Linked DNA regions of Struthio camelus. The protein of the gene in region 2 interacts with the protein of the main gene of each other region in a pairwise test. Links are inferred from orthologs where the notes say so. Each region holds a gene or a part of one and is shown on either strand. Other genes may lie near its edges. The genes, in order: CYTH3 and CNKSR1.

Region 1 (15,046 bases), on a different chromosome or scaffold from region 2:
TGCAGATTAAAAAGAATAGTAAACAAAAGAATGTTTTCAGTTAGACAAACAACATTTAGTATGAATTTACAGATTCAAATAAGAATGCATTTTTAAGGCCAGAAGTACTACGTGGCAATTTAAAATTCCTCAACGATAGAAATAACAAGTATTATTAAAGTAATGACTTCATATTGCATTAATGTGCAAATTAGTCTGTTCACCCTATTGCTCAAATGTGTGCCAAGTCATAATCTGCAAGATCATAATAATGAAGAGGTATACAGGAATAACTTAATTACCACTATGACACAAAATAAAGCATCTGTTATAATTTGCAATCAGCAACCCAATACATCAAGCCCCTACTTGCAGTAGGAGTTGTGGCTGAAGATACTGAAACCGGTTTAAAGAGATTATGGTTACTGCTGACACCGGCATTGTCACCGACTTCTGGCTGCGCTTCAACCGAGCTATTCGCAAAGGAGTGTCCATGAAACCAGTCGAGCTTCTGCCACGGAGCTTCTGCTGAAGTGAGGAGGAGAGGCTTCGCCACCATCCAGGTGGTGGTGTTGGATCGAGCCCCTGTAACCCTGCCCTGCCGTGAGTTACTGACCCCGCAACGGGCACGTTCTAGGGATGCCCAGAGAACCTGCTGCAGAGCACTAAAGAAAGGAGGCTAAGTTATACTAAGATTTTTTTAAAGGACGGAAAATATAGTATTCCAAAACTCAGCAGGTCATGAAGGGATGTCTGTCTTTTCTTTCACCCCATACCCCAAAGATGTTAATACTCCTGCTGATTTCACTAAAGGGTCAGCAGCATGCTAGTAAAAAGTAGAAGCAGCAGCTATAAGCAAACTTAATGTCTTGGATTCAGAATATGCACAGAAAAGCTTAATAGTTGTTCCAAACCTTTCCTATTAGAACATTTGATAATTTCAGAAATAATAATTTTTTCACTTTTTCATTGCAAATGGAATATTTATATATTTATATATATATATATATATATATAAAATCTCATTCCAACTTTGAAAATTTCCATTATTTTTGGACAGAGCAAGCACAAGGGTCTATAGTAGCCCTCAAAAAAGTAACTATCCTTCTGGTCGGTTGTTTCTGTTTTTTTATAACTACCACCTGCCTGACAAAAAAGTCAGTTTTCTGACCTACTTTGGCAGAGAAAAACTGTGATGTTACTACTCTTGAAGCGTTAAAAAAAATCTGGACTCTACTTTTCTCAAAACAATTTTATCATCAACTGAAAACTTATTTCAATGCCAGGCTGGCATTCTGAGTCTCACAACCTAATACTCTTACAAGTTATTAAAGAACAGGCACAAATGCGTTGCAAAGAAAACATCGGTTTATCATGAAGTAGAAAGAGCTGAGCCTTCCTCAGAAGCGATCACTTCAAAGCTTACTTCATAACTGAATATTTGTACCAAAAAATTCATTTGACAATGCAGTGTAATTTTTTTTTTTTTTTCCAACAGCAAGTTATTCAAACACTTTTCTCAGCTCTATCAACTGAGAGAGCACCTTCCTCCCAGCAAACATCAGCCACAGCAGTTGCAGGCTGCCTTCTTCAACACCTGGACCATATTATTCATGTTTAGTGAAGCAGACTGACCTGAATAGTTTTTTCAAAGGTATGAAGAAATATACATGTTACTGAGAAAAATGATGGAAGTGATTACAATTATGGAAAACAAATTTCTTTGCAGAGAAGCAGATACCTTAACGATACAAATTGATTTTTTTTGTCTTTTTTTTTTTTTTAAACTCTTCTCTTTAGGATGCTAAGGAACCATGAAGTAGATAGGCAGGAAAAGGAAATTTGTCTGGGAGAACAACTGTACTGCCTGGAATAAATGGTAAAATAGGCTATCCAAAACACCCTCTACTCCTACACTATCTTTTGACTCCGTGTAAATTTTTTCTGTAGACAGATGTTAGATGGGAGATATCTGTGTTAGTTTCACCTCCCACACAAAATCCAGGCTTACAGAAATATTTAATATTCATTAAAAATGTCGCACAGGTTTTCTGAGTCAGCACAGTGAAATCTGCTTTGAATTTCATAGTTTTTACAGTAATTTACTTAGACATTTTCCTGTTGCTTAAACCCTGTCTTTATCATAGAGAATTCATTTCCAGACCGTACTGACTGCCAGCGCTGGGAATTTCAAGCACAACTGCACGATCCCTGTGCAGGGATCCTCGAAGCATTTCACAGGCTTTGTCGTTATAGCCCTTGCCACCCCAGCTATCCAAACGCAAACAACTAGTTACGTGATGTTACCTCACGAAACTACACTAAACACAGCGATCTCGAAACAGGCGGTTTTTTGGAGGGGAGAGAGGAGGAGTAATCGCTCTGCATTAAGCGCTGGAAAATTTAAAGGTCTTCAAATAAAATTTGAGAAAAATAGAGAAATTAGCTCTATATGTTCTTGCCAACGAGAATGTGTTAGATGTCTTTTTTATTATTTGTTTTTAAAGGAGAGAATTTGGGGAATTCAACACACGTATTGTTATCCCATTTCTTTCACATTCCTGTCTATGGAGACCATTTTCTCTCCCATTTAGGAAAAAAAAAAAAAAAAGTCCTTTTCCACAGTGATTCCAAGTTAATTCTCTCAAACATCAGAAGGACATATATTTTAGCTGCCTATAATTCAAAGTAACAGTTGCTAACAAAGAGATGATCCAGCTTTAGAGCAGCCAGCTCTTGCAGGCCACCACTGCTTCACAGACATCATTAAGGAATTACTACTGTAAGTCTATTCACCACATTTAAATTATGTTACAGGAGCAATGTGGCCACAGCATCTATTTATAGAAATAATTTCACCCACCAATAAAGACCAGCTAACATTGCAACGAAAATATTTGACATCATTCTGTGATTTTACCACAAACTTCTAGGAGGCAAAGGAGCTGGAGAAAACAACATATCAGGATATTTGAGGATATTCTGCCCTCAGCAGAACCAAAGTCAGACAGTCGCCAAAACAGACAAGAAAAATAAAAGACATGGTCAATGGCTTAAAAAAAGTTCTGTATCACAAAACACTAGAGTGCTTATGGTAAGTTGAAAATAGCCCCCAAAAAACAGTCGACATTATTGTACTTGGAACATCACAGAAAAGCCACCAAAACACAACTGAATTAAATACGTTTGGAAAGAAAACATGTCAAGAACAGACACAGGAAAACAAAGGCTTATTAAAAAATTCTGAAAGAGTTGTTAAAGATCCTTCAGAAATTCAAAATGAAATCCTAATGAAAACAACAGAAGGCAGTAAAACATAAAGCAAGAAAGCTCCAAAATGAAAAGTAAAGGTTAAAGGGGAAATCTAGGAAACCAAGTCAAATATATCAAAGCAACACTTTTTTTTTTTGTAATATATCAGAGGGAAGTCTACAAGAGAATGAGCAGGTCACGGAATTCTCAAGGTAAAACCGCTATTCAGCGGAGCAATGAACTACTTTACCTTTCAGCTAACGCACAGTAGCCTTCTTGAAACTGATAACCAAGTATCCACTTGCGGCTACTTACCAGTGGTACAGGTACGTATATATGTATGTGTGAACACGCGTGCATATATAAGCATACAAATCTATACACATGCATTATTCACAAACAGAATTTAGATAAGCAAATATAAGAGTCTATGTGAGAACAAATTTTGAAAAACATTATCGATATCTTAAAAGAACAAAAAATAGGGGGCAGACAATACATATGGCCTAGCTAGTAACCAAACTTCAAAATATTTTCATAATTACATTTAGCATACCAATACAAAACACCTCTATCAGGTGTAAATAATCTTTCTGCAAGCCAACTCAATACCTGGCATATTTGACCTTTGATAATATTTTCTGTTATCAAAAAAAAGTCTGCTTGAGTGAAAAAAGCATACATGACTGGCAAATGACCAAACGACTGCACCTAATTTAACCCTCTGCTCAGTATGTTAAAGGATAGACAAATAAGGCCTATGAATTTAACGCTATCAGACATGATTTCTTAAAGAAAACAGTCTATATTTGCCACAAATCACATCACTAGCAGGAACCTGAGTCCTGACAAGTTAAAAAACAAACAAATAAACAAAAAAAACACCACACAAAACACATGCTCTACCTTCTTAGGATCCATGTTGAATTTCTTCCTTCCCATAGCTACTTGCTTATTTCTTTGCGTAGCTTTGCTTCATATGGAGAAAAAGAAAAGGAAGAAACAAAAAGATTATCCCTTGCTCTTAGATAATTTCTGGACGAACCTCTTAACTTGACCGTTGGCTACTTTTGTATTTTCAATTACAGAACTGAGACATTTAGTTTTCACAAGGGGAAAAATATGTTACAATTTTAAATTATTTTAAGTGATCACAGCTTTAGAGCTGTATCATTATCAATAGAACAGCTGAAAGGATCACACTCTATCCAATATATCTATCACTTTCTAGCCAAAGCAAAGACACATCTGAATGGGATAAGACCTTATAACAGAGTGAAAAAAGGTGATCAAATGTTTGTTCAACATAATAAAGCTATCTGTATTTGCTGTTCCTGAAAGACCTGTTCCAACATCTTACTGAAGCATTCCCATATCGTTAGCATTACTTACCTTTCTTCTACGCTAGTCAGATTATCAATTTCTGTCATAACCTCGGCTATCTCAAATTTTAATCTCTGCCAAGAGAGGGAAGTAAAGTAAGTCAACCAACATTAAAGCATTTTTTGAAATTGGCTAGCATATACGGTTATGATCAATTAGTTTTTTTTTTTTTTTAATATTTACTAGTCATCTGAAGAAAAGTAGTGAACCTTCCTGAGATTCTTAGCTTAAAGATTTTAATTTGACCACAGCTGAATCACTGTTAAACACGTGGATCTTAACTCCCAGTGCGTGCCCAGGTCGGAACACCACAATCAAAAAATCCTCTTCCGAAAGCTGTTTTTCAGATTCTGTTCTGAATACAGATTTTACACCTATTATTCATCTGCTTACCTTCAATGTCACATTATTTCATGTTCTTTACCACTACAAGAAACATTAACCATTTCAATATAATTTTTTTTTGCTCAGATTTCTCATTCACTGCTACCCTGAATACAAAACTACTGTATATGAGATATTACACTAACCTAGAATATTTACATATGCACATGTTACATTACATACAGATATTAGCATTTTTAAAACATAAATGCTGCATAAATCCTTTTGATAATTAGTAAGATTTAGGTTAAGCCATTTAGATGCTTTTGAAAACATTACCTGCAGTTCATAACTAGGTAGAGGGAAGTGTTGCAGTGTACTGTAACTTAATCTACTGAAGCAGTCCTGTAAGAATTTTTAGAGATAAATTACCTCAATATCATCAATCAGTTCTTTTTTCCTGCGACGAATATTTAGCAGTTCTTCTCTTTCCTCTATGGAGAGGTCATCAGGCACTGAAATACAGCAAAAAGTACAGTCTTTCACCATTTGCAAACACACTTTACAGAAGAAAATCAGACTATGTCGATTAAGAAAAGCAAGTTTACAGGCAACTTCATGGCATTTTTTTTTTTTAGTCAAGATTATTTTCAGAGGAAAAAAAAGAAAGAAAACGGAATACTCACTTTACTGAAATTCTACTTTATAAATCATAAATTAGGTAATTAAATGAACGACTATGGAAAGAATCTGTCTTTCAAAGAAAGCCAGACAATTAAAGGGAATCTGTTCTCATATAATGGGTCATCAGATTTGGCTCTACAGTTACATTGCCAAATTCATGTCTGGCATCACTCCAATTGTTTCAATAACAGACCAAAATTCTCCATGTAAATTAAGTATGATTTAACACACATGCACCTGACTATCTTTTCAGGAAAAAAGGTAACGCTACATAAAACTCATTACAAAGACACGCATCCTGGTGCTGATTTCAGACGACAACATATTTTCAGGAGTACCCTTTTATTTGACTGCTTTGTACAGCAGATGCCTGTAAGTATAATACTACTAACATCTTTAACAGCGATTACTTCCCATCAGCAGGATAGACATCTTTCTACATTACAAATAAACAAACAGTTGGAATTAGTTATTTAGCACAGCATCTCACAAGCTTATGTTTTCATATAATATCATTTAAATAAGTCCGAAGTATTTAAGTCAATTTTAGATATCTTTTTGACTATGCTAAAACAAATATGCTACCATGTTGATAAAAATTACTTGCTACTGAAGATGCAAACACATTTCTGTACACAGCTTCGGCTGTCACTCACCCTAGCAGCAGCTCCCTTACCCCACTGTCTGCATCTGACAAGCAAACATGAAAAGTTGCTCCAAAAAACCTCAGCTTTTATTAAGCAATTGCATTCTCCCTAGCAAGAGGCTTCATAGGACAGAGACTACGCTCACTCACTTGCACAGCACTACCATATCAACCAAAAATATGCACCTGCTTTGCAACGAACCCATAGTATAATAGTTTTTCATGTGACTCACTCTCTTGGAAATTGCTCCAGAATTGCAGAACAACTTTTCCTTCAAGATTAGATAAAACAGAATATGTAAAACAAATAAAATTCTTTACCAACAAAAACATGTAAAAGTACGTAGTCATTTAAAAAGGCCAAAGTTGTTTCTTTATCTCATATGCCCGTGTCTAGCAGCTTCTAGCAACAGGATCAGGAGCTCAGACTTAGGTTTTATGGGATTTTTTTTAAAGATATATTTGAAACGTATCCTCTGTTCAAATCTTAACAGTGAAATATAGCGATTCTTTCTGGCAGCCAGTGATTAACCTCCTTTCCTCCTAGGAGTCTAAGCATAATATAAAATCCAAATGGCAACACAGCTTGTTAAACACAAAGTAATTATGCCAAATGATCTAATTTAACTCTTCCAGACACAAACGTAATTACATTACTCCCAGCTTAGGAAATGATAAAGTCTTTTGTTGAAAGAATACCAGACTTGAATATGTTTACCTGCTTTTTCCCTTCATCTCCCCAGAACCCTACCCATTCCTAAAAATTTCTTTCATGCAAATACTAACCGATTCTTTTTGCAAAACTTACAAATACATTTGCCTACCCCAGACATCACAGCTTTGTCTCACACGTACAGCCCAAGATTTTACATTGGCCAAACTCAAGAGATTTTCCTGACTACGCACACACTAGGTACACGCAGATACCACAGTCGTTCCAGTTACCTGACGACCTGACAACAAAATACGAAGCCTGTTACCTGAAGCTGATTATTAAGGTGGCAAGACGTGTATAAGCACTCAGCCTCTTAGCTGGGAAGTACGCTCCAGTATCCCTAAAGCGCTTTTGCAGTAGACGCAACTAGATTAGATTTTGCAGTATCAGTATTAGGAAGTGTTTGGGGCTTTTTGTTTGTTTGTTGGGGGCGGGGGGGTTGGTTTTTAACTTTTGGTCACAGCAGACGGTCTGGCAAATCTCATCTTCATTAGCAATTGGAAATACAAATTCAAACCTAAATAGACAATAACCTTTAAGTATTAAATGGTTAGTAACCATAGACGGTGCTCGATTTTTACTTCCAATCAAGTGACAAAAATCTTTGCAGCAGCTGCTCTTTGGGCGGCAGGATGCCGTCGCTCACCCTTACTGCGGTTTCTTTTCTCCAAGTCACTCTGCAGCTGAAGCCCACCGGGGTAAGGGTGTGGGACGCCTAGGACAAGTTAACGTCTCCTTGGAACCAACCCAAATGGCGCCACAGCAGTCTACCCTCCAGACAGCCACCGAAGAACAGAAATAAAAACATTTCAGTCCTTTTCCTACAGCACCCACAGACACTCTCCTGGGTTTTTTTTTCCATTTCCTCTGACAGTTCGCAGCAGCCACAGAGACATAACCCTCCTGATATGATTAATGATATTGTCACACAGGAAGGAAATAAACTAAACGGAGCCACGCCGCCGTTGGCCTTCGGAAGTCGCATCGAGGATCTATCTGCCAGCAGCAAGACGAGCGCTGTCTGCTGGCGGGACGGTTCTAAAGAGAGCGCTTGGAGGCGACGCCACGTCCGGACAACACCGTCACATGGCAGTCCTAACACCGAAGCCAAAAAAGGCTAATATCCCTTGAGAAGAATAAAGAGCCAGGACACAACTGGGTAAGCGTTAGGGTACTGCTTGGGCTTCTGCTGTAGTCAGGGCTTTATTTCCCCTTAGCCCGGCAGCCAGCGAGGACAGATCACTTCCTTGGCAGGACAGATCACTTCCTTGGCAGGATGCGCAGCTCCTGTCGTCGCCCCAAACTGGCCCGTGTGTGCAGACAACCGTGGGAGTTTGCTACGCGCTCACCCCCCTCCTATCATCACTGCCTCCCTTCTCCAGCGCTCCTGCTCGCGCTGAGGAGGAAACGGATCCATCGGAAAGTGAACCCCCCCACCTCCCCAAAAACTTTCTTAACAGGCTGCGTGGGCTGTCACAGACCGCAATTTCGGAGGCCTTACGGTTCTGCTCCAGGAGGCTGTGTGACCTCAGCCATGTCTACTGCCTTCTCCATGTTTCAATCCCCCTTCTTAAAACACAAATGCAACAACAGTATTTCTGTATTTCGGTGAAGGGCTTTGAAACATCAGCACTGTAAGGTATTTTTACCTTACCTGGAAGGAAAGGAACAGCAGAAGATGCTCAACTGTGGCTTAAAACATTGCTCATGCAAGAAGGGCACCACTAACATTACTTTTTGCTCTCGAGAATCTACTCTGCATTTTTCACTTCAATTATTCTTTGCTTTTCAGTGATCTCTAGTGATTCAAAAACACATGGAAAACAGGAAAAAACCCTACATTCTACTTCTAAATAAATAAAATGTTGCTTCAGTGATATCAGACCTGTTCCAGACTCAAACAGCAATTGGTCAATCCAACGGCAGTTTGAGGCGCCTTCTGCAACCCGCCGTGCAGCTACCGCAGCGAGAGCCAGCAAACCATGTTCGTTTTATTTATTCAAAAAAAAAAATTGAAAACCCACAATTGAGATGTTTGACACAAAGACTTATTTTACAGCTGCTGAAAACAAACGTAAGATCAAATATGGCCAAAAGTTTAACAGCAGTGCATTAAAACTTTCTTACAGTCATAAGCAAATATTGCAGGTACATGACACAAATATCCGCTCTGACAAGACTGCTTCCATTAAACAACTTTGACTCTTCCATAGCTAAAATACTCAAGTTTGTTGTTTAACCTTGTGTCCATATAACCCTTCGTACAGAAGGGCTCCTAGAGCGCACATTACGCATTTGTCCCATAAGACAGGTTTTCTAGCTGCCCTCTCTCAGTCACTTCCAAGTTTTCTGCGGTTCACCAGCTCTAAACACAAAGTAGACAGGATAGGAGGAGTCTGCACGAACATTTAAATAACAAAAAGGAACAAAGATCCTCTGGAGGGAAAAGTGTTACAGCATAGCGAACAAGCTGCGGGTGCACCATGCTTTCATGATGTCTTCTAGTCTTTAAATAAAAAGAATGTTCTATTGCTAACGCAACTCATTCATGCGACAAACCTTTTAGCCCGCGTGGAAAGCGTTTCAGCTGCTACTAAATAGGAAGTCAATTTAGTTACTGATCTTTCATTAAAGAGGAACAAAGTTATTGAAAGTACAAATTATACTCTTAGCCAAGTAGTAAAACAGAAGAACGCACAACAGCACATATATATGTATCTATATATCTATATATACACACACTCACACACACACATATATATAGTTACTACTAAAAGTTACCGAAATTTGAATAGATATCCCCAGTTTGGTCTATCTTTGTTCAATTACTGTAACTGATCTAAATGCATTTCATTGTATTTCTTCTAAACAAACATTTACTGGAATATGCACATTTAATACAGGTTTGTTTACAGTAAATGGGTTACCAAAAAACCTAAAAAAACCCAAAAACACCTGTAGTTTGCCATAGTAATTAGTGTTTTGTCCTGCAGTTGTGATGTCACTTTCTTAAATAAATTCGCTACTACTACTGACAACACAAGTACAGTATCCAAACAAGAATATTAACCAAAAACCCTTAAAGCTTATGAATACACAGTAAGCATCTATTTCTCTCTACTAAAAAGCACTGGAATCAATTAGCTTCTTAGGTGCTGACATTTAAGGTATAGCAAAATTTAAAAAAAAAAAAAAAAAAAAAGGTGGGGGAACAAATTCAACTGCAAAATGCAATGCTTTACATTCTTGTTTCCTGACAATTCCTCTACACCATCATTTGCTTTGTTTTACTACATTTCAGTGTATTTTCTTCATATTTATTTGTTAAGCATTAAGCAAATAAATTCAGCATTATGTAAAAGCCATTTATCTAAATGCAGCGTTTTGGGGCAAGCAGGCACCCAAAAAGAAAAAAAAAAAAGTCCTTTGCAGATCAGGAAAGGACTGCAATAGATCAACATGGAAAGACAGGCCCACAGGTTAGTGGAAATCGGGAGCAAATCCCAAAATTAAAAAAGGGAAATTTAGTACTTTTCCAAGTCCAGATCTCTGATCCCTTCTTCAGGAGGGAAAGTTAAATCGTTTCCACCTCTCCAATTACATTATATGAACCAAGAAAACTGAACTCCTATGTTTAACAACTCTTACTTACTAGCCTTTCAATTTGCATTCACTGGCCAAGACATAACGCAATCGTACTCCACCACTTCAACTGATTCCAGAGTTTAGTCTCTCAAGAAGACAGCAGAATAATTCATAACTAGAAGAAAGAAAATATCTAACAATATCTAACAATAGATAAATCATTAATTCTCTAACCCCATTCATGAAACAACATGACTCCCTGACTCTTATAATTCAACTAACTGTTTGGTTTCATAAAGATAAGTATTTTCCTTTTGCCATGTCACCCTCAAATTGGAGCTATCTGTGCTTCTGCTCCAAGCAAAGAACGATCAGGAAGGGATTTAATTTAGCTGCAACTGAAACATCTTATAAGTGTAAAGATATTTACACAACCCAAGGTTTAAAACAAAACAAATCTATCCTTGCCCACATAGAGAATGAGTACGGCAGAGTCTTCAGGCCTTCAAAAAAAAAAAAAAATACACATTCATCTCTGAGAACAAATCTGATTGTCTCAGGACATCAGGACATTTGTCTCAACGGATATTCTCAGGCCAGTCTCTTTTCCTTTCCCCCTACATGCTCCCTTTTTTAAACTTAACCATAGGAACAGTTTCCAGCTTTTAGACATGACATATAAACAAAGCTGCGACCACTTGTGGCTATTAAAAAATTCCATAGAAGTTTTTGTAGGAGGACATCCTCTTGAATAGATTTACTTCACTGTGCGAGAACAAAAAACATATCTGCATTAAATTCATCTTGGAAAACTAGCAAGATTTTGTTGTTTTCTTAACCACCTTACTGCGTTATTCTATGATTTTTAGACACTGCGGAACATGTTCTAGCATAGCAGCAATCACATTTCAGTTAAGAGTGAAAATGATTCTGCACACAATATCCTTCCCAATACAAAATTACCAGTTCATGGCAATGGTAATTATCATGGAGTGAGGAGTTTAGGACTGGACCATGGCTTGCAAAGTTATTTTGAGACTTTTCAGTCAGGAGGGACGCTCTACGACCAGACTCTAGTGCCACATTAGTGGCAAAATCCACTGGAGAACCTCAGACTGGCACCCATCATATTAACTGTTTAACTATGGGACAACCCACCATTACCAGATGTTGCTAAACACACTATTCACTCTAGGACCATAAGATATTTTAAAAATACCTGTCCTTTTGGACTTCTAATAATATGTTAAAAAAAAAAAAAAGCCTAAGTTAATATTAAATCTACTACAACATGAAAGCATATTTAATTATACCAGTTATTCATATTCAACACTTTTACTGAAAGAACAAAAGTGGGAAAAAAATGAATATGTCTTTTCTATCCACAAAAGAGACAGAAGGATCATGGTACTGCCAAATGTGAAATCATTTTTTGTAAAATGATTTCAAATAGGTAAATGACTGAATTCTGACCGAGGAAAAAAAATATTTAATCTCTATTAGCATTCCTAGTCAAACACAGTAGGCAATTCCAAAGTTCTGCAAAATCAGATAAGACACATCTGGGGGGAGGGAGGGGGAGAGGATCTAATTTATGAAACCTACCTGCCCTCCAAAATCAGCGTTTGGTTTCACCTGTCACACGCACACGAGTGCTGCCTTGCTTTGATTTCATATGGTATTATCCTTAACTTATGATTTTTTTGCTCCACGTTTTCTGAATAGCATGTATTTTTTACAGATTGTTTAAAGCTGAAACCGAAACACTAGAGTAGATGTACCATAGGCTTAGTCTCATTAAGACAGTCTTTTCTTTCCCTCTAAAGCTCACAGTGAGAGCCATTAACGAATGTATTAAAATTAAGACATAATGTTTATAATCGGATCAAGAGGATTTATTTTTTGATCTGTTCAAAGATGGTAGATGAAGTAAGCAAAAAAAATTAGAACTACCAGCAAAGATTTTTAAAGCACAATTTACTGACTTCAGACAAAAGGCAAGCCTACCCCAAAATGAAACTTCCAATGCCTGTGATGAAATGCATGCATTTCACAAATGCAGTAAGTTATCCATACATATGCTTATGGTTATAAAGAATAAGCCATGACAAATGCATTTCTTGACCTTAATGGAACAGGAGCATGCAGTAAAACTACAGCTGTAGCATATGTCTTTACAAACTATGTAAGTACATAATATGAGCAACAAAAGCTGCGTAGAAGTGGAAGAAAAGAGTATAAAGGCTTGTCACAGGTCTCAGTCTGAACTACTAGCCCTCGGTGCTACCTATTAGCTGCCCTTCTTAGCTGCACTAAAGCACAAGCAGGCAGAATTTTATATCAGATTTCAGATCTGCACCTATATAGATATACCCTTAGAAACAACTTAAGAGACATCTAACTTTTTAGTTCCTAATTATGCGATTGACACAGATATCTGCTATTTGAAAACAGAGTGTGTTTAAGTTAATGAGTATTTGCTTTTACCATGCATGCTCTCTTACTTTTATGAACAGGCAGTAGCGAAGACTGCAATTACCTTACATTTACCTCCCTTACATCTTCTAGTCAACAACATATCTTATTTCACTTTTAGATGCATTTCCATTAGGAAACCAAGTGCTCTGCAAAAAAATAAAATAAAATAAAAGTAAAAAGAACTACCTCCAAGTAAAGAAAGGAGCACTTGGGAGAAAGAAATAGAAACATGCAGCAACCAGCTCTGAGCAATGTTTCGCTAGCTGGGTAGCCTGGCGCACAGCATGCTGGTACCTGCTCCCTTTACGTCCCTGCATCGCGTTGCTACGCGCTGCTCCTGGATATACGATCCTGCCTGGATCATTCTTTCCTGGGTTCGTTTTCTGCCAGTTTAGCAAGCCAAATTGTTTCACGAAGGGAATGGCAGAAGCGGCCAAGCCAATGCACCAGGCGCGGCAGGAAGCCCTGGCCAGCAGGAAGGTACAGGGGCGGGTAGGAACCCTCTCAATGCTAGCCAGCCACAAAACTGGCTTAGTTCAGCCCTGAAACACTTCCCTTAAAGGCTATATTCGCTAAATCCTAGAAGTAGTTCAACCTGATATTAAAAATAGATACGTGTGGAATTCCTTTTAGGAGCGTTTTTCTTTTGAAGTCACTCTACTCCTGCTTCAAGATCAGAAGATGCTTCTAGGCCAACTTTTCTTTTTAAAATATGTAAATACAAATTACTGACTATGAAAAGAAAGCTGAGTTTAACCTAACATTCTAAGTCTCTTACCCAAATAAATTAATACTGGCATTAATAATATAAAGCGTTAAAATATGCATGGACATGAATTTTTTAAGAGCAGAAAAATTTTACACTGACTACTGTGGAAACTATAAAGGAGGAAGTTGGCTACAACACAGGAGCTACACGTTTCAGGGTAGGTTTGTAAAGATATTTGCACAGATACAAGAAATACATCATTAGCATCCATTAACAAATTCTACCATTTAAGAAATCTTGTGAATCACCATTATGATTAGTGTTACAGCTGTTACTGATACTATCATCTTAACATCCTATTGCTCTTTCAAAAGAGCAAATAGGAACATCAGAGTAACGTGAGACAAACGTTAATAACTTGCAGAGCAAGCGCTAAAAGTAAAAATGCACATTGCCTTGCTGTTTTACGTACAGGGGCATATTCATATTACCTTAAAATCATCTTCTACGCTGCATCGGATCAACAAAATGCTGTCAAATAGAATCAAATCATTTGTCCCCTCCCCCCCCCCCCCCGAGTATGATTCGTGGCAGAAGCTCACAGATAAATAATTCTGGAAAGAGAACTCAGCAATACTTTCCTCCCTATGGGGCATTGGCATGTGCAAGCCTGGGGAAGCAACTAGGTTACCTAATGTTACAGCTGAAATCAAACACATTTTCTCTAATGCTTGCACTTGAAAGCCTTTGTTTTCAGCATATTACACTGCAGTATGCGTTAGCACAAAACTTAGCCTTTATAGAATAACAGTCTAAGGTAATTCTGAAATTCTTTTGATGACTCTCATAGCAAGATTCAAACCACAACAATTTTTGTCATTTTGGCTCATATCTTAGCACCCTAAAGCAAGAGAATGATCAAGCAATAATGCCAGGAGAAACCATGCATAACAGCTGAGAGCAAATTACATATTCACTTGCAGTGCAGAACAACGGCCACTTAAAAAGAAGTTTTGGGAAGAAAATCAGAGTTCCCCCTCAACATTATCTAGGGGGTGAAAGGAACCATGCCAAGTATGCACAACACAATTAAGTGACACACGATAGATACCACATATTTATTTGAAACCTTTCATTCATTACAGTGCAAAGAAAGGGCAGTGAAAGATCAGTGGATAAAACTTGGCTAACATAGCAAGAGAAAATTCTGAAAATAAAAAAAAAAACAAAACGTAGACTGAATGGCTTTCCAAGAGTAAGCTCTTTTAAACTGTAGGCTAGAAATGCCATG
Region 2 (14,958 bases):
CACACAGAAAGTCCATGCTCACATCTCTGCCTTCAAAAATGATGTAAATCCCCCCCCCACCACCACCCATCCCATGCCGTGGGACCAGCCAGGACAGGCAGAGCATCCTCTTTGCTCCGGCAGCACCGTGTTTTCTAATGGGAGAGATCTGTGCTGGAGAGGTCCAGCGAAGGACCAGCAGCTCTTGTGGGGTGTCATGGTTCAGCCGCCTCCTGCGGTGGCCTGGGCTCAGCACCGAGCCCCGCATCAAAGTCCTGGCCCTGCTGACGCACCCACCACTCCCGCAGCTCCTGGTACAGGTCCTGGTGCTCTTCCTTCCAGCACGTGAACTTCTCTGAGGTGAGCGTGACATCGTTGAGCAGCTGCTCCAGGACCTGCAGCTCCGTGAGCTTTGCCTGCAGAGAGGAAAGGAGATTTGGGGGATGCTGAGCACAGCCCAGGGCAAGGGCCGGAGAGGACCAGGGGCTCCCACCTTGAGTGTGCTCTGCAGGGCCCGCACCAGGTGCACCTTCTCGTTGATGAGGGGGTTCTTGTTGCGCTTGATGAAGGATTTGCGGTACTGCTCCTCCGTCAGAAACCGCTGCCGCCCGATGAGGGACACTCCCCCCTGCTTCAGGCACTGCATCAGGCTCTCGAGGTCCTCCTCCTCAGAGTCTAGGTGGCGAGAGGGGGCACCACAGCATACGAACAGCCCTGAACACCCGCAGGGTTGCCCTGCATGCAACCCTGTCCCAAGAGCATCCCAAATCCAAAGGGGAGACTGGGCCATAGATCAAAATGAGGGTGAAGACACCCTAAGATATGTCCCAACAGGCCTGCAAGGACTTGGATTAACCTCTCCCACCACCACATGCAGACAAAAGGTGGCCATGAGCTTGGTTAATGGAGATGGGGCTCCATCCAGCACAGGGCACAGACCACCCCGAGCACTTCGAGCACCTACCCATGGGCAAGTGGGACTGGTGGCTGCCCTGGGGGCTGCTGACTGCACTGCTGGGTTCGCCGGTGGCCAGGAAGAGCTGGGCTTTCTCCGGGGCATTTTGCAGCCTCCTCTTTGGCTGGAGGAGAGATGGGGCAGGAGGTGAGACAAGGATCTCCCCTCCTCAGGATGTCCCCTTTCCCACAGGGCCACTTACAGAGTGACAGCTGGGCCTGGGAGAGTCGTCATCTGGGTCCTCGGCTTCGGTCTCGCTGTAGCAGTCTGGAGGCAATGAGGGAGGATGGTGAGTCCGGAGGGCAGCAGGAAACCACGGCCTGGTGCCCCCAGAGGGGCAGAGGCCAGGCTGCCCCTCCAGCCCTCCCAGCTTAAGCATCATCCCATACCCCATCCCTCCCCTCAACCTCTCCTTGCCGGGAGAGGCAGTTCCCATGGTTTTCCCTCAGGACATGGGCAAAGCTCTTAGTGCTCCCACGCAGGAACCCATCCATGAGGCATCGCTGCCATGTGGACACCCTGGGTCCTTGCAGCCCCACAGCTCCCTGCAGGCTCCCCATCTCCCCTGGGGGGAACCGACCCCTTCTCCCACCTCCTGGACTGTCCTGGAAAAGGCTGCACTTACCTTCCTCCCTGTGCGGGACCGACTGGTGGGCCAACGTGTACTTCGTTTTGGCTGTTATCAGGTGACTGACCCACCTTGAGAAAAGACAGATGTATGGATGGTCACAGCCAGCCCGCTCCCCGCTGTGGCCTGAGCCACTGCAAACCACGGGATTGTGTTTCTGGGCTGCGTCTGTGGCAGGACCGGCCTGGGCATTACTCACATGCTCAGATCAGCCAGCGTTTCTGCGGCGAAGATGAAGGGCTTGTACTTCTCGTGGGAGAGCTGGAAAACACTGCAAGAAGGGTGAGGGGGCAGCTGCGTTCACTGCTGCTTCTCCAGGGTCACCCACGACCATAGGCAACCCTAAGCCCCCATCTAGCCTCCCCCATGCTGGCAGCCTTCCTGCTCCCAATCCAGCCTGCAGGCTTGGGTCAGGCTTTTCCCTGACATCGGAGATGCTCTGGATACTACTGTCGGCCACATCCCAGATACCACCAGAAACACAACGCACATCCCACGCCACAGCATAGCCGGTCCTGCCAGCACAGCCGCGACCCCCTCCAGCGCTGTGCTGGGACGGGCAGGTGGCACCCAGCAGGATTTGCCGGCACGTGCCCTTCGGAGAGCGTCCCACCCGCACCGCCATGGGGAGGTCTGTGGCGAGACAGCCAAGATGATGGCATCAACACCCACTCACTATTTCTTCTTCTGCTCCCGTGTGCTCTCCAGATCGTAGGTGGCCACGTTGATGAGACCCACGGCCTTCTCATCCTGCAGGGGAAACACAGCAAGGTCCACCACCGTCCACTGCTCACCGGCTTGGAGAGCCTGGCTGGCCCCACGCTCCTCTCCCAGCCGCCCGGGGTCTGGCCCCGGGAGCGAGGTCACCCGGTGGGCTCCACTCACATTGGGATGGTTGTACCAGTAGAGCGTGTGGCCTTTCAGCACAAACCAGCACCGCTTCCACTTCTGGGCCATGAAGCCCACGTGGTCCTTCTTCTTCAGGAGCCAGCCATCGCAGTCCACCCGGCCCAGGTCCCGGCACGAGACCCGCCGGCGGCTCAGCCTGGTCGCCACTCCTGCGGGAGGCAGAGGAGGTGGTGCCCAGCGCCCGCGGGCAGCCCCGGCCCGTGCTCCGCCGTCTTCCCGGGGACGGGGGGCGGCCACCCCTGCCGCGGCGGGGCCACGCAGCACGTCGGGGGATCTGAGGAGCTCACCTTTGGGCCTGCGGCGCGTCTCGGGGCTGCCCTGGGTGGAGAGGTGGAGACGAGCGGTTAGAGATGAGCGGGCAGGCGGGGAGGTGGGGGGGAGTGCAGCCGAGACCCCCACCCCGAGCTGCGCCTGCCGCCCACGGAGGGTCCTCCTCGTCTGGCTGCTTTGCAAACCCTGCGGCAGCGAGTTCAGCCCCCCGGCACGAGGCTTCTGCCTCGCCGCTCGGGCTGCACGCGACACCCGTCCTGTTCCCACCCCCAGCCCTGCCCGAGACCCCCCGGGTCTCACCTCACTCCCGGGGGCCGCCGGGGGGCCGAGGTCCACGGGGCCGGCGGCGGTGAGGGCGCCCGGCGGCGTGCTGCTCCCTGGCGCCGCGTCCTCCGAGGCACCTGCGGCGAGCGAGCCCGGAGCGCCCCAGCCTCCTGCGGCCCGGCAGCCGAGCGGCTGTATCTCCGCTCCGCGGGACCCATCCGTATCCCCGACGGAGCAACTGCTTTTTCTCCAGACGCCGTCCCCCACCCCACCCCGCTCCCTACCGTCCGCGAGCAGTCCCTGCAGGAGGTCCCCGGGCAGGCTGGCGGCTCGCTCGTCCTCCTCGTCGGTGGCGGGGTCCGGCGCCGAGTCGGGTCCCGATTCCCAGTCGGCAGCCACGCTGCGGGGAGAAGGGACAAATATCCCTCCTGTCGGGGCCGGTCCCGCGGCCGCGCCGGAGGTGCCAGCACCAGGTCCCGCGCCGCTCGCCCGGGCGCAGGCGTTTCTCTCTCCCCGGAAAAGCAGGGGAGGAGGGAAAGCGGCGACGTGGAGGAGAGACGAGGCACCGGCTAAACCAGCCCCTCTGCTTTTTTGCCCCAACAGGGAGATCAAGGCACAGCCTGGCGCCTCCAGCCTGGCCTCGGCCCCTTTGCCTCGGCCGGACGCGCCAGCAGCAGGCAACGGCTCTGCAAACGCCTTTCCATTCCGGGAGAGGAGAAGGGTCAGTTCTAAATATAGTTGCAACTCCTATTTAAATGTTACCAAGTGACTTAATTGCAAACAGAGCCTCTTTTTTTTTTTTTTTTGTTTTGGCCTTAAGACTCTCGGCAGCTTCCGGGGACGCTCGCGTGAACGTTACTCTCCGTCGCGGTGCTCCCAGCCCGCGTTTTCCACCCCGGGCGGAGCGGATGCTCCCGAACACCCGCTGGCTGCGCAGGGCCGGGGCGCGCGGGGCACCAGGCCCGGGGCTCACCTGGAGCTCAGCGACGCGGGGCTGCCGGGGCGCTCGCTGCTCCTGGCGCCGGCGGGATCCGCCGCATCCGAGCGGGCTGCCTGCGGGGCAGTGCGTCACTCCCAGCCCACGTCCCGCTTGGGGACGGTGCCCCGGGGCTTTGAGATGCTCCCAGCACCCCTGCCTACCTCCCGCTGCTGCCCAGTCTGGCGCTGGGGCTCTACTAGGGGCACTGGGATCGCTCACCTGCTGCCTGGCAGCCTGGGGGGAGCCGGGCAGGCTGGGGGGCACCTTCTTCAGCACCAGCGTGGCCCCGCTCGGCTTCTCCAGCAGCTTCTTTGCCAGGTTCACGGGCGTCCAGCCCACCTGCAAAGGGCACCGGCCACCGGTGGGACCAGCGGCCGCCTGCCCTGCGCTCGCCCCCCGTCCCCCCGCCGTGCAGAGGACACGTTGCCAGCAGCTCCTCCGGGGATGCATCCCTGCATCCCGCAAAGCAGCCGCTCCGGGAGACGGACTCCGCCGCACTCACCACGACCTGCTCGTTGACCTGCACGATCTCGTCCCCGGGCAGGATGGGGGGGCCGCGCACGGCCAGCGCCTGGGGGCAGAGGGGAGGCAGCGGGATGGGGCGCCGCGGTGGCTGCCCCCCGCGAAGCGCCCGAGGCGCTCGCACCGCCAGCTGAGCTGCGGCTGGGGGAAAGCAGCGGGGCTTTGCAAAGCCCGGCTTAAACATTAACCAGCCGGCCTGACCTTTTGGGCCATGCCGGGCGGCCGGCAGGAGGGAGCCCAGGGGCTGGTGGAAACACGGCGCGGAGCGGGGTTCCCGCTGCAGCCTGGCCTGTGCTCACTCGTGAGACGAGTTGCACGGGCTCAGCAGCGCCCAACTCACCTCCGAGGGGGTCCCAGATACGAAGTGCAGGCCGGAGCTGGTGGATGTGATCTCCAGGTCCTGCGGAGGGGGACGGGGAAGGGAGCCGTGAGCGGGGCGGCGGGCAGATCCGGGGCCGGGGCCACCAGGGCACTCACCAGCGTGGCGGTGGGCAGAGCCGGCGCCAGCCCCACGCGCTGCAGCACGGCCGTGCGGTCCAGCAGCTGCCCGGGGCTGCAGCCCACGATGCTCTCGCAGATGCCCACGATGTGCTGGCACTGGGGGCGACAGAACCAGGCTGAGCGGGGGGCGACGGTGCTGCCAGCCCCCCCCCCCCCCGGCTGCCCCCGGCCAGCACTTACGATCGTCAGGATCCGGCCATCCCTCTCGGCCGCTGGGCAGTCCTAGGAGGAGGCAAGGGGCTGAGCACAAGGGCCACCGCAGGCAGCGCTGGCTCCAGACAGCACCCAAGGGGTCCGGCCTGGGGGTCCCTACAGGTAGCCGAAGCCCCCCCAACACCAGCAGGGTGAGAGATCGCCAGGTCTCCTCTTCCTCCTCCCCGGACCCCACCGGAGCCGCTCTCCCGGCGCAGTCTGGGCCCTGCCGGCACCGTCCCAGCCAGGGTCCCCGCGGGAAAACCAGGCTCCTGGGGCAGGGGGGGACGGGCCCTGCGACCCCCTGTGCCGCATCCCCCATAACGCTGGGAGCCCTGGCGCTTGCACGGCTGCCTCCAGCACACACAGGCTTCGGATTCGGGAAAGCCCGGCTCATGCCCATCACCGGGGCCTCAGGGCAGGGCAGCCGCCCGCGGCACTCACCTCCTGCAGCGCCTCCGCCAGCTCGGTGCAGAGGAAGACGATGTCGCGGCTGGCCGAGTAGTCGTTCAGGGTGGAGAAGAGGTACCTGGAGGGCACGAGAGGGAGACAGACAGACGGATCAGGGCCGAGCGGAGGGTGCCCAGCACCCCTGGGTGCCCCAGGGGGGCCAGCGACGGTGCAAAGGGCTGCCCGCCCTCCCGGCCCCGACCTGTTGAGCCACGAGAAGAGCTCCTTGGCGGCCCCGACGAGCTCGACGACGCAGGCCAGCAGGTCGAGGGAGGGCGGCCGCGGCTCGGCCCCGGCGCCCGCCCCGGCGGGCTGCTCGCCCAGCACCAGGGCCTGCGCCCGGCCCGCCAGCGCCCGCAGCTTCTCCGCCAGCGTCCGCAGGCTGGTGCTCGCCAGCTCCTCGTCCTGGCGCAGGAGAGAGGCGCCGGGGCGGCAGGGAAGCGGGCGATGCTCGAGGATGCTGCCCGCATCCGGCCCCGGCGCGGGAGAGCGGGGACGCCCCGGGGAGAGCGGGGGCCGGCGGCACTCACCAGCGCCCGCAGCTGCTCCACGGCCTCCAGCAGCAGCTCCTGGTGGCCCACGCGCCGCACGCCCAGCGCCTCCAGCGCGCCCGCCGACAGCCGCAGCACCTCGGCCCCGGCCAGCCCCCAGGCCTCGAAGGGGTACCCCTGCACCGCCGCGTCCAGGCCTGCCCCGGGGACGCGTTGCCCTGGAGCTGACGGGGCGGCAGGGGGGACACACCGCGGGTCCCCCCGCCCCGACGGCCCCTTCGCCGGGTGACGCTGGCGGGAGCGGCGGTAAATCCCCGCGGGCGCAGCCGGGGCGAGCCGGATGCTGGGCACCGCCTCACCGTGGAATGAGTCTGCCGGGTCTCAGCCCATCCGGCACCGCAGCCCGGCTGCAGCGTTGGGGGGGGGGGCACGAGGCCCCCCCCCAAGGTTGGGAAGCGGCACCCCGCGCGCCCCACTCGCTCCGGGGGGTGAGAAGGGCCAGCGCCGTGACCCCCCCCCCAGCAGGCACGTCCCCCCACCACCGTCCCCTTCGCTGCCTCCCCGCAGCCGCCCCCAGGTCCCCGCCGGGGTGGGGGACGGCGGTGGCCCGGCCGGGGGCCGCTCACCTCGGAGCCAGGCGGCCGCCTGCGCGGGGCTCCAGGTGCCGACGGGCTCCATGGCCGCCGCCGCGGCCCCGGCGGCAGCCGGCACACCTGCGCCAGGTAAGGGCGGCCCGATTGGTGCGCCCGGCCGCCACTCCGCCGCGCAGCCCGCCCCCGCCGCCCAGCATCCCCCACCCCGGCCTGCTCCGCTCGCCCCTCCGGCCCCGACGGAGCGGGGAGAGCCCCGGCCCACCGAGACCCCCCCCCGCCCCGGCACCCGGGCCTCGGTTTCCCCGCTGCGGGGCGAGCGCCGACGCGCGCTGCCTCAGTTTCCCCGGCCCGCTCTCCTCCCTGCGGCCCCGCTGACTTATTTCCCCCCCGCGCTGGGCCTGAACCGCCGGGGACGGTGTCTGCGGCCACGTCCTGCGCTGCCGGGTGGGAGACGGAGGGCCGCGGGCACGCGCCTCCCCCCAGCTCCCGGCCCGCCGTGCCTTGGTTTCCCCCAGGCAGGCAGCACGGAGGGGAAGGCCGTCAGCTCCCAGGGTGGGACCCCCGCCGGGGGCGATTTCCCCCCCCCCTTCCTTCGCAGGTGGGGAAACCGAGGCACAGGGCGGCACACGCCGGGGCCCCGCGGCCAGCTCCGCCGAGCCCCAGACCCCGCTCTGGCTGGCCGGGAGCTGGCCTCTCCCGGAAGGTGCCTTGGCGGGGCCGTCCCCCCCTCGCCCGGCCGTGCGCTTGGGGGAGCAGCGCGCGCTGATCGCTGCTGACAGCTGCTGATGGGCGGCCGCGCCGCGCTGGGCGGCCGCACGGCGATTTCGGAGCCAGGGCGCAGGGCTGGCGGCCCCCGGCCGCGGCTCGGGTCAGGGCTGGACCCATGGTAGGGACTCGGCGGCAGGGGGGGTCCCACTGCCGGGGCCACGCGCGGCCCGACCCCGTTCCCGGACGACGGAGCCGGGGGGCCCCCGATCCAGCTGATCTCCGTGCGGGGCCATGCCAGCCGCGGGCCTTTCCTCCTGCCTCGCCGCTCTCCTCTTCCTCCCGCAGCTGCCCATCGCCCTTCCCCGCCGCACCATGATCATCCGCCCGAGACGCTTAACCCCGGGGTATTTTCGCCTGCTCCAGGTAAGGGTCGAGCTGGGCTGGGGCTGGGCACGTGGGGACCCCCCGGCACCGTGCTGCCCGCGAGCCCTGTCTGCCGCCGCGAGCGATGCCCGGCCGTACCCCAGCTCCCGGCCCCAAAGAGGGCTGGAGCTGCCTGCGAGGGTGCAGCGTTGGGTGCTGCCACCGAAGGCAGAGCCCAGCGAGCGGGCAGAAAGCCCAGCCCGAGAGCACCCTCGCGCCCCTGGCTAAACTGCATCTTTCTCCCTTAAATCCCTCCGCGTTTCTTCTGGGCGCAGCCAGGACATTCAGGGCACGGCCGTGGTCAGCGTACCCGGAGACGCGTGTCTTCGCGCAGCCCCCGGGCTAGCCCAGCGCGTGCCGGAGCGGAGCAGGGCCTGTCCCCGCTCCCAGGGCCACCGAGTCCCGTCCCCGGGGTGGTTTCGGGTCTCGCAGCGCTCTCCTCTCCTCCCGCAGATGCAGCTGGCAGGGTGGCGGGAGGCTGAGCCGAGGGACCGGCTGGTGAATCACCTGGCCCTGCTGCTGGCCGCCGTGGGGCTGAGCCTCTCCTACTACAGCGCCCGGCGGATGGCCGGCCCCGCCAAAGCCTCCCCGGAGCCGTGAGGCCGGGGAGCTGGCGGGCGCTGCCTGGCCCAGGGAACAGTCCCGGGCTCCAGCGACATCGCACCCCTCCCCGCTCTCTCCAGCCGAGCCCCAAGCTGGTGGCACGGGAGCTGCCGGACCCGCTCCGCTCACCAAGCCCTGGCTACGGGGAGCTGCCGGATGCGTCTCCTGACTCACTCTCGCCTCATAGCCCCTTCGTAGCCCGCTTACGCTGCATCCTGCCCTTCCCCTCCCTGCCTTGGCCTTTTGTTGCCCTGGAGCTGAGGGGACACGTTTGTCCCCCTTTTGGGAGCTAGGACAAAGGATGGAAAAGCCAACCCGATTCTGACTCCGATTCCCCAACAACACAAACCGACGCTGCGAGCTGGCAGCCAGGGTCACCTTCCAGCTCAAGAGCTGCCAGGCGCAGCCCAGGGACCCAATTTCAGGCAGTGGCAAGCTGAGCCCTAAACTGAGCCGCTGCCGAGAAGCCAGGATCCTGCCACCATGAGACAACCGAGCCTCAGTGAACAGAGACGCATGGAAAGGAGGGCCTGGGTGAGGCATTGGCCCCCCTCTCCCCACCCTGCTCCCGGGAGAGGGGCCCACGCAGCCCTTGCGCCTCGCTGGCAGCCGCACAGGGCTCCCTCCCCGAACCGGCGCAGGGGAACGTGCTGCCTCTGCAGTCAGGCCAGCTCCAATTAACAGCCGCTCCTCCCTCCCCGGGCGGCTCAGCCAGCAGCCCCACGTCACCAGCCGGCAGAAAAGAGGTCAGCGCAAAGCGCTGTTAGATAACAACAGAGCTGGGAGGGCTGGGACCAAGATCAGCCTCCGAGCAAGAGGCTGGGAGTGGAAACGAGGACACAGGGTTGGCTCCCATCGGAGAATTGCTGCCTGCGAGCAGGGGGCAGATGCCCCATCTCCCCACCAGGACCTTCCCACCTCTCCCTCTTGCACACCAAACCCCACACTGCTCCGAGCTGCTGCATGGAGCAAAGCTGCCCCTAGCAGAGAGTGTTTAGATACCAACTAGAGAACTAGGTTTAATTGCCTCGATAACCCTGGGGGGAAGAAATCTGGTCAGTCTGCATGCAAATAAATCTTTTCCTTCTGAGCAAAGCTGCACTGTCTCGCTGCCTTTCTGCTGCTACAGCTGAGCGCTCCCTCCTCCTGTGGCTCAGCAGGGGGGACAAACCTTTCATCTGTTGTTTTAGTGCCACAGTTGTATCAGTCAAACCTGTTCTGCAGGAATTTACGGCAGTCAGTGCCATTGCAACACGGAAGCGTTGCAAACATTGGAGTCGCATAGCAGAGAGAGGCCGAGCAGGGAGGCGCTGCCCTAGCAGGGGCGGGAGCACCCGACAGCCTGGGCGGCTGAAGCAGGATCCCTGCGCAGGAACAGAACAGCACTGGGCTGGGGGATACGCGGTAGGCACTGGATCACACTGGGTGCGCGGCCCCATGCCGCTGCTCTCTGGGGGTATGAAACCACTCACCAGGCACTGCGTTTTAGTGGGCAGAAGCCCGGAGGTGTCCCTGCTGGGAACACATTAGCGCCTGCCCCTCAAAGCGCACAGGGGATCAGGGCCCACTCTGGGAGCTCAAATCAGGCAGGGCCAGAAACACAAAAAGCTGCTTGCGATAGACCCAAGGGCTTGAAGAGCAGTTCGTTCCAGCACACAGTCCCCCAAAAGAAGCTCCTGTGCTGCACCTTCCACCAACGCGTTAGGATCCCCCTCACCGGAAGACAAACCAGAGGGAGCTTTACCTTCCTGTCAGGGCAGGAGAACTGTGACGAGGCCATTCCTACAAACTGATAGGCACTCTGGGAATATTTCACTTCCAAGGTTCAGGAAAAGTTTAAAATCGAGAGACTACCCTCAATCCAGAAGGGCAGCTGTCCCCACTACCTCAGCACTGCTCCAAGCCAGAGCCTGGACCACACTAGCAAAGAATTCTGCATTCAACACTGCCAGCCTGTTGATTAACATACTTTAATGGGTGACTTAGAGGTGTCAACCTCTAACCCAAGGAGAAGTATCTAAAATTGCTCTAAAACCAGAGAGATGAGTGCACAGCCATATAACATTTACACCAAGCTGCTGCTTGTCCCTTCCCCAGGAAGGGGAACACAGTCTGCTGTCAGGCACATAGTACACAAGCGCCCTCCCCAACGAGGGCATCCAAGGTCTCTCTGGCTGCCTTCTCCTCATTAGCTCTTCAGCAAGGAAAGCTGCCAGGAAAACTGTTGCTTCGTTGCTGGGAGGCTGGAAGAGAGCTCGTTTTCCTCACAGGGCTCAGTAACAAAACACCTTTTTTGCAGCACTGTAATAAGGGCAGCCCTGGCCCTCTAGTCCGCTGCACTCAGCTGGACGCCTCCATCTCGATTTCTTCATCGATCGGTTGGGTATGTACTTCTACCTTCTTTGGGGGGATGTAGGATCCCATTCCAGCCGCTCTCTCTGCCTCCTCCTGCGTGTACGGCTCCTCGCTCAGCTGTTTCAACCTGAAAAGAAGGCAGAAATTACTGTTAAACCACCCATGTGAGTTCTGATGTTCACCTGAATCTCCTTAAAACAAGCCAAACTCCTGTACAAACTGGCCCAGAACTGACACCACCAGCCTCACCCTGCCAAAGCTGGAGACAGGGCAGAGCCCTGTGGCTACAGGCGCAGCTCCGGGGATGGCACGAGGACCCACACGGGCGGCTCACAGTGCCACAGAAGCCCCCCCCCACACTTACCTTTTCTTGTGCACCTTGGACCTGAAGTGCTCCTTCATGCTGGTCAGATCTACGAAGTAGCGCCTGCAGGGAGAGACTGAGGGTGAGAGGAGCCCGAGGCAGGAGCGGGGCGGGGGACAGGGAGCGACAGCCAAGCCCAGCCGCCTCTGAGGGGCCCTCGCGTGAGGCAGCCGCTGCCCGGGCCCCAGCGGCAGCCCCCCCACTACCAGCCCACCCCGTCTTGGGGCGGCCTCCATCCCTTCCCGGGACAAACTACCGGGGTTAGAGCGACCCCTGCCCCAGACCGGCCCCCCCCACCCCCCGCGGCCGTTATCCGTTTCGGCCGTTACCCCCCCCCGGCCCGTGACGCACGCGCAGTGCAGGCAGTAGAACTGGGCGCAGCCCGGCAGGTCGGGGTCGGGCTCCTGCCGCAGCAGCCTGGCGGCCACCTCGGGCCTGAGATCCGCGTGGATCTCGTCCAGGTCCCGGCGGCGCCGCTTCGCCTTGCCCTGGCGGCCCAGGGAGCGGGCGCGGTGGGCGCCCGTGCGCCGGCTGCTCCGCGGCGACATGATGGCGGCGGCGGCGGCGGCGCCCGCTGATGACGTCAGCGCGCCGCACCGCAAGGAGAGAGGGGAAGGCGGCAGGCCCCGCCCCCTGCGGCGGCAGGCCCCGCCCACCCCTCCAGGCCCCGCCCCCGGCGCGGCCCCACGCGGGACTCGGTGCCCCGCGACCCGCCGCGCTGGGGGGGGGGGTGGGGGAGCCGGGCCCCAAACCCCGGCCCTGCCCGGCCCCGCTTGGTCCCCCCCCCCCGGCCCTGGCGCTTGCACCCTGCGGCGTGGCCGACCCCCGGGAGGGCCGCGTCCCCCCGAAACCCCCCGGCTCCCCCTGGGCTTTGGCCCCGCACCGGGGCGGCGTGGCCTGCTCGAAGCGCGGCATCACCTCGGGGACGGTTTGGGGCGCTCGGGGTGGGACCGGCCGCTGGTGGCGGCTGTCACCCTGCCGCTGTCACCCTGCTGCAGCCCTCGAGGCCAGGGGTGATGCCGGGGCCGGCCCTGCTCCAACCACTGCTGCGACGAGCTGGCCAGGGCTCAGCAGGCCGGGCCCTGCAGGAGCCGGGGCCAAGGGGTCCCGGAGCGGCCGCGGCGCTTATCGGGTGCCCCCGCGGAGCCCCGGGCAGAGGAGCCGCGCCGACCCGCCGGCCCCCAGCGATCGCCTTACCGCCCGCCCCGGGGAATCAATAATAGATGGGGAGCCGGGGTGCAGCGGGGAGGGGGCAGCGCCGTGCCCCCAGCGCCCGCGCTGCGGCCGGGCACCGGCCCCGGGGGGACGGGGCACCCCGCTGGGCGAGGGGCCCTGGGGTGCCGGGAGGGGGGGGTGGTCGGGGGCCAGGGTGGGAGGTTTGGGGGGGGCCGGAGCAGCTGCCCTCGCTCTGCCCACCCACCCCCCCCCGGCACCCGGCCCGGCTTGGGTTACTCTTTGTGCAGCCGAGGCAGCCCCTAAAATTTTAATGACGACACCGGATCCCTGGGGAGGGGGGGAGGCCCGTGACCCCGCTGCCCCCCACGCCAGCCCCACGGAGTGGGGGGGGGGGGGGGCAGCCCGGCCCGGGAACAGGCACACGGGGGCTGCCCGGCACCTGGGCGAGCGGCCGGCGCCTGAGCCCATCACCATGACTCAGGCCTTCTGGAGGCTCTACAAGTCCAAAGCGCTGCAGACGCTGAGCGGCGAGCGGACGGACGAAGAGGTAGGGCGGCGGGGCCGCGCGGGGACCCCAAAGCGGGGTCAGACCCCCCCCCCAAAAAAAACCCCTCTGACTTTGCCTCTGCGTTTCAGGCAGAGCCCCCGCAGCGGATGGAGGCGGCCGAGCCGCCGGAGGAGGCAGCCGGCCCCGTGGCCCAGCTGGCGCGCAAGGTGAGGGCGGCCGGGGGGCGGTGGGCCGGGGCGGGCGCCCCGGGGGGGGCCGCGGGCCGGGTGAGTGGCGCCATGCCTCGTCCGCAGGTGCAGGGCGCGGGAGCCAGGGGCTGGCAGACGCTCTCGGCCCTGTTCGGCCGCGAGGACGGACGCCGGCTGCTCAGCCCGGAGCCCGGCGCCGACCGGTAAGTGGGATCCAACACGCCGCCCCCCCCCCAATGAACCCCCCCCCTCCCCAAACCCCCTGCCGCCACCGGCTCCGCGTTGCTCCTTAATCCATGCGTCCATCCCGCGGGCTCCGAAACCCGACGGGTTGGGGAAGCTTTGCTGGGAGGGCTCGAGGGCTGGAGCAGGGGGACGGCGGGGGGGGGGAGAGAGGGGTCTCCGCCATCACCCCCCAGCAGCCGGAGGCAGTCGGGTCCCGGCGCCCTTCTCCGGCCCCGGCTCCCCAAGCGCCGACCGTCCCCCCGCTGTCTCCCCAGCCCGCTGTCCGCCTCGCCGGCCGAGCTGCCCCCCGCCAAGGCACCCGGCTTTTGGGACCTCTTCGCTTCCAAGTGGCAGCAGCCTGCGGCGTCGGATGAGCCGGAGCCGGGCGAGAGCCCCGGGGAGCCCGGCGACTTCGCGGGCGACGGCGGCTCCCGCCCCGGCCCGGCCGCCGACCTGCGCCAGCCCGAGGAAGGGGCCTTCGGCTGGGGTTTCCTGGCCGACAAACTTGCCGAGATCCGGAATAAAAATGCTCCCAAGGGCGACTAGAGCAGGAGCCGCCCGGAAGGACTTTCTGCAGCAGCGCGGGCGGCCGCTGCAGCGCTGCCCCGGCACCCCCGGCTCCCGCGTTGCCGCCTGCTCCGGACCCGGCCTGCCCCCCTTCCCCGACGCTGTTTCTACCCCCTCGGATAAGGGAGCCGGGTAACTCCGCGGCGGGCGTTTGCAGTGAGTTTTGGCCGGTCTCTGCCTGCCTGGAGGTGTCTGCACTAAAGACCTCGAGCTGCCCCTTTTTCCCACCGCCGCGTCGAGCTTTCTTCAGCCCTGCCCGCGGCCGCCCCTCCGGGGGGCCGGGGAGCTGCCCCCGCGCCCGGCACAAACCGCATACGCAGCCGGGCTAAAAACACAGCCGGGTTTATTGAGCATTGCCCCGGTCCCGCGCAGCCCTTTCCCCTTCGGATCCGGTGAGCCCGGCGGGAAGCGGGGGCCGGGCGGGCGCTGCCCGCAGCGGGGGCTCGGGCTCTGCCCGCCCCCCCGGACCGGGCCTGGCTCCACGACGCCGGGGCTGCTGCCCTCTCCCGCCACCCTCCGCAGGAGCTGGGGAGCGCCGAGGAGAGGCCGAAGGAGGACCTGGCGGGGGGGAAACCCTTCCTCCCCCGGACACCCCCATCACACTCCTCCGAGCATCCACACCCCCCAAAACGCAGCCCTTTCCGGGCTCAGACCGGTCTCCAAGGGCATGAAACCATGTGGCCAACGGGGGCCAGCCCGCAGTGCCTCAGTTTCCCCATGGGTAGACCTGCTGGCTCTCCCGGCCAGCCGCGGCCTGGCACGGCCGCCGCCGGCGCCACGTCCATCCGGCACCGCGGGCCGTATGCAGCCGGCACGGGGCCGGCCGGGGTCTCCCCGTCGCCGGTCGGGTCGCCTCTCCCTCCGCCAAGGCCCCTCAGACGGTGGACTCCTTGGCGGCCGCCCAGGCTCGCTGGCAGCCGTAGAGCCACTTGATGACGCGGGCGTTGCGCTCCACGACGGAGACGGCCGAGCAGAGCCTGGCGCCCGGCTCCTCCTCGCCCGCCTCCCCGTCCTCCCCGCTGCCCCGCGACGCCCGGCCCAGCTCCGACTCGCACGAGCCCGGCGGCCGGGCCGAGGCCGCGTCCCAACCCGCCGGCCCAAACCGCTC

What was found.
Region 1: the proteins of CNKSR1 (region 2) and CYTH3 interact in binary tests that used the Homo sapiens proteins (3 or more experiments, as listed by UniProt). The two-hybrid records come from large-scale screens. The link is inferred for Struthio camelus from reciprocal best matches to the Homo sapiens genes CNKSR1 and CYTH3.

Annotation. Positions count from the first base shown.
Region 1 is NC_090956.1:9,138,122-9,153,167, forward strand, and holds the start of CYTH3 (cytohesin-3), read right to left. Parts: upstream 5,488-15,046; coding exon 5,371-5,487; intron 4,689-5,370; coding exon 4,624-4,688; intron 4,205-4,623; coding exon 4,138-4,204; intron 1-4,137. UniProt on the Homo sapiens protein: Promotes guanine-nucleotide exchange on ARF1 and ARF6. Promotes the activation of ARF factors through replacement of GDP with GTP. Plays a role in the epithelial polarization.
Region 2 is NC_090964.1:7,135,156-7,150,113, forward strand, and holds the start of CNKSR1 (connector enhancer of kinase suppressor of ras 1), read right to left. Parts: upstream 6,834-14,958; 5' UTR 6,819-6,833; coding exon 6,767-6,818; intron 6,365-6,766; coding exon 6,180-6,364; intron 6,055-6,179; coding exon 5,852-6,054; intron 5,729-5,851; coding exon 5,644-5,728; intron 5,230-5,643; coding exon 5,188-5,229; intron 5,104-5,187; coding exon 4,984-5,103; intron 4,907-4,983; coding exon 4,847-4,906; intron 4,556-4,846; coding exon 4,487-4,555; intron 4,324-4,486; coding exon 4,204-4,323; intron 4,059-4,203; coding exon 3,979-4,058; intron 3,406-3,978; coding exon 3,290-3,405; intron 3,176-3,289; coding exon 3,042-3,175; intron 2,790-3,041; coding exon 2,759-2,789; intron 2,621-2,758; coding exon 2,448-2,620; intron 2,313-2,447; coding exon 2,239-2,312; intron 1,834-2,238; coding exon 1,762-1,833; intron 1,634-1,761; coding exon 1,560-1,633; intron 1,202-1,559; coding exon 1,137-1,201; intron 1,059-1,136; coding exon 944-1,058; intron 655-943; and 4 more. Other genes in the region: ZNF593 (zinc finger protein 593), read right to left, coding at 10,808-10,949, 11,187-11,249, 11,538-11,734; C23H1orf232 (uncharacterized protein C1orf232 homolog), read left to right, coding at 12,835-12,909, 12,999-13,076, 13,164-13,261, 13,559-13,829; protein FAM110D, read right to left, coding at 14,725-14,958. UniProt on the Homo sapiens protein: May function as an adapter protein or regulator of Ras signaling pathways.